Linked DNA regions of Sus scrofa. The protein of the gene in region 2 purifies or fractionates together with the protein of the main gene of each other region. This does not show direct contact. Links are inferred from orthologs where the notes say so. Each region holds a gene or a part of one and is shown on either strand. Other genes may lie near its edges.

Region 1 (4,434 bases), on a different chromosome or scaffold from region 2:
CAGTAATTATAAGCCTGTGGCCTCTAGCTGACTTTGGTTTTTTAGTTTTTTGATCTTTTCCAACTCCTAGAATATTTATCTATACCCAGGGCTGAGAAAATTTCATTTTTTTTTTTTTTTTTTGTCTTTTGTTGTTGCTATTTCTTGGGCTGCTCCCGAGGCATATGGAGATTCCCATGCTAGGGGTTGAATCGGAGCTGTAGCCACTGGCCTACGCCAGAGCCACAGCAACTTGGGATCCGAGCCGCGTCTGCAACCTACACCACAGCTCACGGCAACGCCGGATCGTTAACCCACTGAGCAAGGGCAGGGACCGAACCTGCAACCTCATGGTTCCTAGTCGGATTCGTTAACCACTGCGCCACGATGGGAACTCCAGAAAATTTCATTTTTGCACAACACCTTTCTAACTTACAAAGACCTCTTACTACCAAATTCCTGGAATAAAATATGTAATTAAATATACTTACTATAGGACAAAAGCAGGGTCAGGCCATATAAAAATTTTCAAACATACATATATGAATCTTAGTTTTCTCCTAATGCACTAGTTTTCCTTAAGTTACGTGTTTCATGAAAAAAAACAAAAAAAACAAAAAACTTCCTTCTCTATCCAGTGTTGCCATGAGCTGTGGTGTGGGTCACAGACGTGGCTTGGTTCCTGTGTTGCCATGGTTGTAGCGTAGGCTGGCAGCTATAGCTCCAATTCGACCTCTAGCCTGGGAACCTCCATGTGCCACAGGTGCGGTCCTAAAAAGACCAAAAAAAAAAAAAAAGTCCTTCTTCTAGGATTATTTTAAGCCTTTATAAAATGTCCACTTGTCTAACCATTTGAATTTCTTATAGTGTCAACTTAGAACGATAGATCATAAAGCTGGAAAAGACAAGGCTTAGAAAACACCAGATTTTCTAAGTGAGGCAAAAAGAGACCAGAGGAAGACAAAAGTACTTAATATCGCTTACCAACTGCACCTGACCCAAATGTATCATCATTGAATTGATCAATCTCTTCATCTTCCTCTCCCAGCCCCTGAAACGCATCTTCATCTTCATCCAGAGGACAATCCTCCAAAGACTTTAAGAGAGAGAGAGAGACTGATAATTCGTGAAGTTCACAACCTCACTTAAAAAATGTTCTAAAAATGTTCTTACCTTCCCAATCAACACAATAGCTTCATTATGACTTTTTGTACAGATGGCATTTTTTTCCATCCCCCAATTTTCCCGACATTGGAAGATTTGCAAATCGTTTCTTTCAGCTTCTCTTTCCTATTCCTTATTTCATTTAACCTCTTCCCCCAAATTTCCATTTCTCTTTTCAGCAAGAATCTAATAATAGCATTTCCTCATGCAACCAAGAAATTAGGCCTGTAACTTCCTTTCCATCACTGGTTACAATAATGACAAATGAAAGCAAACACTTTACATTTTGCTAGAGTTTTACATCTATTTTTCAATGAAATTCTTATCTTCCCCATATTCATGTCATCTTTTCAACCCTTTTATTATTCCCTTTTGAAGCTTTCTCATCATTTTTCCTCTTCCTTCTTTCTACAGGCCCAAAACTGGTGATAAAACAGAAAGCTAAGATTTCAATCACAATTAAGTAAACTCTTGAAAGGCCGGGATGTGGCAAGTTTAAGTTCTGTCTCAACTCTGACAAGTGATATCAACTTGGGCAAATCACAGCCGTTCTGATGAATTCATTCAATACCTCCTGAGCACCTACTGTGTCTCAGCCTGTATTAAGGCTCTAAGCCACAATCTCTTAGGTGGTAATACAAGGACACCACCACCTGCCTCAGCAAGTAGTGAGGATCAAAGGAGAAAAAGATTGAAGCAAACATTGTGTATTGTTAAACAATGCTAGATATCACTTGGGTATGTTCTACTTTAAACACTCCCCCCCCCATTTCATTTATTTTTCCAAGTTTTCTTTTCTTTGGGGAACTTTGCCCCACCACATCTCAGCATGTCTCTCCATGTTTACATATAGTCAGTTTGATCTCGAGCCATTCCCATCAAATAGCAAGAATACACAGCCCCAATTTTCAAATACTCAGAATCAGAATTCCACACTCTCTGGCAGGCACATTTGTGATAACACCTTGCCGGCTATTTCTCAGCTAGGCTGTTCCCAAAAGAAACGTTAGGCCAAAGGGCCATCTTAGGTCCTTCCAAACTTAGACAAAGCAAGCATGTGCAACTGCATCCACATCAGAGGCAACTTCCAGAAGCATTCCCAAATCACAAAGATCTACTTCACCGAATCACTGCTTTTTAGGTTGGAAAGGGATCGTCTAGACCCACCCTTTCTACAAATCCAGAAACTCTGTCTAGTGATTAGCAGTCGCTAAAGGTCATACAGAGACTCAGTGGTAGCGTCATAACTCTGTTGCTGTATTCCAGGGACCATCACGAACCCCCAGTTTCCCTCCATTCGCCCAGAAAAAACTTCTGCTGGACACGCCCCTTCCCCACTCGGAGCTCTCATCAGTAAACAGTCTTCCGCCCCAGTCAAAGGGCAAGTGCAGGCCCGGGTGACCTGACGGTTGCCTGCGAGTAAGGGGCTATGTGTAATTAATGCGAGATGATAGTTCTGGGTCTTAGGCGGGAAATGCGTCCCTGGGCTTTACCCTGTGGCTCTTCCTTAAGCCTTAAGTGCCACCGGGTGGGTGCAAGGCTCTCAATGCCGAGCCCCACCGGGGGTACGGTGGGGTGGGGGGTGGTTGGTTACCGCACTTAACGGGCCCTCCCCACCCCCAAACAGAGGTCAACTCTCCTCAGTAGCAACTGATAGGACAGTCCCGCCCCCACGAAGCCAGCTCACAGCCCTTGGACTAAACCCGCGACCCCAGAGCCCACACACTCTGCTCGGTCCTGCCGGCCCCTCCGCCCCCCCTTTTCCCCCCGAGGGGCGCGGACCGACGCGCTGAGCGTGAGAGAAACAGAGAGGGGGGCGCGTGCCGGCGGGAGGGAGGGGTCACTTCCGGTCGCAACAGCTCACCTCGTAGCGGAACATTCTTGGGGAGGGGGGGGAGGGAGCGGGGAGGGGAATGGGGGAGGGAGGGAAGAAGCGCTGACTCTCCGGGCTCCTCCGCGCGCGGGTCCTCCACCGGCTCGCGACCCCTGGCCGCCGCCGTACGCCGGAGCGTGCGTGGGAACGTGCGCAGGCGCGCCTCGGGGAGGGCGGCCGCCCCGCTCCGCGCCCGGCGGCGGCGGCTGCGCGGGGACAGATTTGGCGTCCCGCTTCCTAGTCTCGGCGGCGGGAAGGAGGTCCCGTGGCGAGAGACTGCGCACGCGCCACCCGTCGGGGGCTTCCTCGCGATCCGAACCTGTAGCTCCGCCCCCGGCTTCTCTGCGCCCGCCCGACGCTGAGGTTCGAGTCACGAGTTTTCCGTCACCGACGGGGCGGAGAAAAGCCTTGTGATTGTCACAGGATATGGCTTTGGAGAGTCCCAGGCTTAGCTTAGGCTGGGAGAAATGGACATTCCTGGGCACTTTTTCCAGCGTCCAACACCGTCTTCGGGTTGCTTGGCGGTCTTCACGACATACGATAGGCACCGAGTGGAGGGGAAAAAAGTTAAAGTTCAGGTCATCGAAAGGGGCTGAGTTCGTCGCCACTTTCAGCGGCACGTCACCCGCTGAGTCAACAGCAGGTCAGGGCTGTGATTTATGTGTCTCAGAGATGAAGGCTTTTTTTTCCTCTTTTCTTTAAACCGAAGGCTTATTAGGGAGGTTCAACCAGGGAGGTATTTTTAGGGCTCAGGCACATCAAGCGTGTGGAGTGAGGGAGCCAAAAAAGGCAGCACAGCCGTGGGCAGCAAGGTCATCGAGGCTGAGTGCGCCGTAGGGTGACACCACCTCCTTAGAGGATCAGGACCAGAAAAGCATTTGTCCAGGTGCCTTGGCAGCCTGTTTTCAGAAGTCTCTTTGGAGAACTGTTATCTCCGCTAGCCGAACTCACTCTTTCCCCTTGAAGACTAAACTTGGCTACGAAATTTAGTCCTTGCACCACGAATTCTTGTGCAGTTTCGCAACTCCTTTCTCCGGTGTCTTAAAGTGCAGCCTCGCCTGGGAGTGGCATAGAGTAAATTCCTTACGTGGTGGTATGACCGGATTAATCAGAGCCTGAGTAGTGGAAACTTGGATTTGGAAATAGAAGTTCTGGGTGGGAATCAGTGCTTTGCCACTGGGCCGTCAGATTTGGGGCAAGTTACCTAAACGTGTCTGAGCCTTAATTTCTTTGGAAAACGGGATTAATGATACCTGCCTCACAAAGTAGTGGTTCAATGGCATGATGATTCCAGTAGTACTTCTACTGATGGTTGAAGTCTGCCTTATGCCAATCCGGTGAGGTAGGTGGTATTATTTTCTCCATAGATGAGGAATTTGAGGATTAGAGATGTTAAGCAGTTTATCCTAAACCACTCA
Region 2 (4,516 bases):
GAAGTCAGAAAAAAAGTACTGGGAACAGGCTGAAGTTTGGATGTGACTTCACAGGGAATAAGAAAACACTGAAGATTAAACTGGCAGGAAAGAGAGAACAGTTTTGAGGCTATTCCCAGAGTCTGAGACATGCAGAAGAGACCTGACTCAGGGTAGAGATGGGAAGGGGGAAGATGAGAGGACTAAGACCCTGCAGTGACAAGGGATGGGATCTGTCAATTATCTGTGTTTGTATGTGTGGGTATGTGCGAGAGAATGGGGTGCTGAAGAGATGAGTTAAAGAAGATGCAGGAATTCTGAGTCGTCATGTCAAGAAGGACCATTTACCAAAAGTTGGGACTAAAAGACACAAGCTTAGGGTGGAAGGTAATTAGCTGTTGTGATTCTGCTGGTATCAGGTCGCCTATGTAGAAAGGTCAACTGGCAATTAAAGATGTAAGACTGGGAGGCCAAAAGGTCAGAATCAGAGCAATTTTGGATAAGCCCACAAAGAGGTGATATAATTACTGAAGTCCACGAGAGCTCCTAGAGATATAAACAAACAGACTGTTGATGGAAGCTAAGAACCCATCTATTTTAGGGAATAATAAGAGTTGCAGAGGAGAGAAAATTAAGTACCAGCGTTGGAGAAATCAAGAAAAGTAATGATTCCAGTGGTAACAGAGGGGAGGGAAGAACCTGGAGGACTGCATTTCACAGATGCCTTTTAAGACTGCAGTTTCAGTAGAGTGTTGTCTAAAAAAATCAGATTGCAGGGGTAACAGAGATGGTCTATTGCAGGGAGTCAGGAAACAGACTTAAAATGGGAGATGGCTCAAAAGGTTTGGGGGTAAAGATATGAAAAGGGGGATGGGAATTTGATGGGGAAACACAGTTGAGAAAAAATGTGACAGACAAGAACATACATGAAGGGGAGGACTCTGGGGGAGGGAGAAAGAAAATATGAGAGAAAATACAGGAGGACTGAGGAGAAGAGGAAAATGTATGTGTGTGAAGGGGGCATATGAAATGGTTTTAAACCTTTTGGTAAAGGAGGGGTTTGGAATCTGCAAAAAAAAGGGGTTAGAGGCTTGAGAAAATTATGTTTTTAGTAGAATGGCAGAATGTGTTAAGGCCTCAACTAATTCAGATATATAACAAAAGAGGTGAGGGCAAAAGGGCATCTTCAAACAACAAAAATTGAAGACTTTATCATACATTGCAGATAGGCTTGTACAGTGGCTATTCACATATGAATTTGGTCCAACCTACACTACATTTTCCTTTAATAGCAAAATCACTAATTTGGATTTTAAAAATAATTTCAGATGATAGAGAATATAATCATAAACTCATTCTTTAATTTGCATACTTAGTAACTGTAGAGATTGTTGTAACTTGTTTGGAGCTGTATGCAAACTGTTTTGCAACTACTACAAGTTAATGAGACGGAGTTCCCATTGTGGCTCAGCAGTAATGAAACCAACTAGTATCCATGAAAACTCAGGTTCGATCCTTGATCAGTGGGTTAACGATCTGGTGGTGCGATGAGCTGTGGTGTAGGTCACAGACGTGGCTGGGACCCAGAGTTGCTGTCGCATAGGCCAGCAGCTACAGCTCTGATTCGACCCCTAGCCTGGGAACTTCCACATGCCATGGTGCCGCCCTAAAAAGCAAAACAAGACAGATCACAGGACTGAAACAATTTATTAAAATTTGCTTGAGGAATAATCCACGAATGAGAGTCTGGAAAAGACAGGACAGCTATAGAGGACTAAACTTCTCTTCAGGATGGTGACTAGGAATAAGGTAGGTCGTCTAAATAAAAACCAAAGAAAACTGTCTAACAAGAAAAAAACAAGTTTTTGGTCCTTCTGGAAAAGTCAAGCCTTGTCTGGCAGTAGTCTCTACTATCATAATCTGAAAATCTAAAGACCCTCAACGGTAAAAGAAGACTGCAAAAGGCGACGCAGCATAAAGCCTATGCTTAGTGCTAATTAAGTCCAATTACTGTTGTATTCGTATTTTCGTTTCTCGATGCATCCCTTCCTTAAGAATTCTCATCCATCCACCAGTAACCACCTGGGACTCGAAATCCCGCAGGTGGGAGATGATGGGCCCGGGAGGCGGCAACTTTCATGTTTGGGCCTCAGCAGCCGCATCCCTGAAAAGCAGAAATGGATTCGACAGCTTGCCGGAGGACTGGTGCAGGCTGTAAGAGATAGGATACAGGTAGGAGGCGGGCAAACAGCGTGTCACAAGGCTCCTCCCTCCTGCAAAGGACGCTAACGCCGCACGTCCAGAACAGCACTAAAAAGACACCGCCCCCTGGCCCGGACTCATTCTAGGACCTGCCTCCAAAAAGCATCCTCCCGGCAGGAAGAGTCTCACCCCAGACTTCACTCGGAGGAGCCGAACTACTCACTGTCGATGTCCTCGATGAGGCTAGCGGTGCCGGGCATATAGTTCATTTTGAGTTGAAATGAGGCGCAACGTATAGCGGTGGTGGGCCAACTCGTCCAACACTTCCTTCTTCCTACCGCAGTCGCCGCCTCGGCGGCACCGGGACAAGAACCCGGACCCAGAGTAGCACCTCCGGCCCGGCTTTCAGCCGCCGGGGCCTGCCGGAAACGTCGCCATATTACTCCCACCCACTTCCGGCATCACGTGCCGGTGCTCAGGAAGAGGCGGGACCGTAGTGAGGTCCCGAGGCACCCTTTCCACGTCCTTGACAAGAGGGGAAGAGAAACCTAGATTGGATACGTAGTGGGGAAATGCGTTCTCCCTTTTAAGGTACACGGTGGCGCCCCTTGCTGTCCTGCTTCCTAGACCCCAGAGTCACCGACCTCAGTCCTTCAACTCTCAAGAATCTGAGGCCGAGGGGGCGGGACCCGGCCTGGGATTGGCTGTTGCTGGCCGACCCCCTTCCCTGCGGTCCACTTGCGTTCTCCGGCTGGCGTCTGCGCAATGGACCGGCCGTGGGGGGCGGGAAGCACTTGGGGGCAGTGGAGCCCATGTCGGCCTTGAGGCGCTCGGGCTACGGCCCCGGTGACGGTCCGTCTTATGGCCGCTACTACGGGCCTGGGGGTGGAGATGTGCCCGTGCACCCCCCTCCGCCCATATATCCTCCCCGCCCCGAACCTCCCCAGCCTCCTGTTTCTTGGCGGGTACGCGGGGGCGGCCAGGCTGAGACCACCTGGCCGGGAGAAGGGGGAGGAGGAGATGGCTACTATCCCTCTGGAGGCGTCTGGTCGGAGCCAGGTCGAGCTGGAGGAAGCCACCAGGTAAGCTTTGCGCTGTCTGTCCCGGGGTGGGGTAGGGGACGGCAATAGGGGAGTCTTTGGAGGTGAGGGTTATTGGGTTTGATACACCTCCAAGAGTTCGTAATGAATTGGGTTTCATGTGTTTTCCTTATGGGGGGGTGGAGAGACAGAAACTAGGATCGTAGGTGGGGGCTATGCTTGTTTTCTCTTTGCCTCTTTTTTACTTCAACCATAGTAAATGTCTTAGCATGAAAAAGGGGAAAAAGATCCTGCGCTGACCTGCTGAGCTGAGTAGCGGGCTGCGAATCTCGCCTGGGAACGGTGTTGGGCTGGAGGGATCCGGGTCTGCTTTTCGAGTCCTGACAATTTATCCTGCGTGGCTCATCAGGTCGGCCCTCCCCAAGAAGGGAGGTGGCTGCAGCACCCTCCGTCCCTTAGCAACCCCTCCCCCTGGGAAGGAACGTGAAGGAAGGGGAGGGATCTGGGCGTTTAGCTCTTTGCCCTTTTAACGCTTTGCCCGACATTGAATCACGCATAATCAATGTTGGAAAGCAGCTTTCCGTGGATTGTTTTATTTCATCTTAAGGGTGACTGCCGCGTAAATGTCATCACATCTTCTCTGTTTTACGATGAAAGAACCGTTGACCGTGAAGGGTTAACTCACTCAGTATATTTGAACCTATAATGTCTTGTTCCTTGTAGTCGTGCGGAAATACAGTTGTTTTGTTATGCAGTATGCTTCGCAGAGAATTAATCGTTATCTGGTGGGGGCACTCCTATCCTTTTCTTCAGGAAATGTAACATCCTCATTGGTTGAAAATGTAATAATGAAATTCCCATACATTGCTGGTGGGAACATAAAATGGTTCAGTGCTTTGGAAAACAGTTTGGAAGTCCCTCAAAACGTTAAGCATACTGTTGGGATCTTACTCAGCAAGTCTGCTCCTTGTTATACACCCAAGAGAACTAAAAACATGTCCACGTATAAACTTGTACACGTGAGATTCATAGTAGCATTATTCATAATAGCCAAAAGGGAAAATATTCCAAATGCCCATCAACTGATGGATAGATAAAATCTGACATATTCATACAATGAATGGGAAGAAATGGGAAGAAATGAAGTACCTTCTACAACATGGATGAACCTTGAAAATATGCTACATGAACGAAGACAAACATTAAACATTGTGTGATTCCATTTATATGAAATATCCAGAATGGGCAAGTCTGTACAAATATATGTCATTGTCAGGGGTTGGAGGCCTGGAGAC

The links.
Region 1: the proteins of LSM1 (region 2) and PATL1 purify together in Homo sapiens (co-immunoprecipitation; 3 studies listed by BioGRID and IntAct, with this or other methods). This does not show direct contact. The link is inferred for Sus scrofa from reciprocal best matches to the Homo sapiens genes LSM1 and PATL1.

The regions. Positions count from the first base shown.
Region 1 is NC_010444.4:11,826,589-11,831,022, reverse strand, and holds the start of PATL1 (protein PAT1 homolog 1), read right to left. Parts: upstream 2,929-4,434; 5' UTR 1,213-2,928; coding exon 1,153-1,212; intron 1,076-1,152; coding exon 964-1,075; intron 1-963. UniProt on the Homo sapiens protein: RNA-binding protein involved in deadenylation-dependent decapping of mRNAs, leading to the degradation of mRNAs. Acts as a scaffold protein that connects deadenylation and decapping machinery.
Region 2 is NC_010457.5:48,346,983-48,351,498, reverse strand, and holds the start of LSM1 (U6 snRNA-associated Sm-like protein LSm1), read right to left. Parts: upstream 2,847-4,516; 5' UTR 2,451-2,846; coding exon 2,405-2,450; intron 1-2,404. Other genes in the region: BAG4 (BAG family molecular chaperone regulator 4), read left to right, coding at 2,994-3,263. UniProt on the Homo sapiens protein: Plays a role in the degradation of histone mRNAs, the only eukaryotic mRNAs that are not polyadenylated. Probably also part of an LSm subunits-containing complex involved in the general process of mRNA degradation.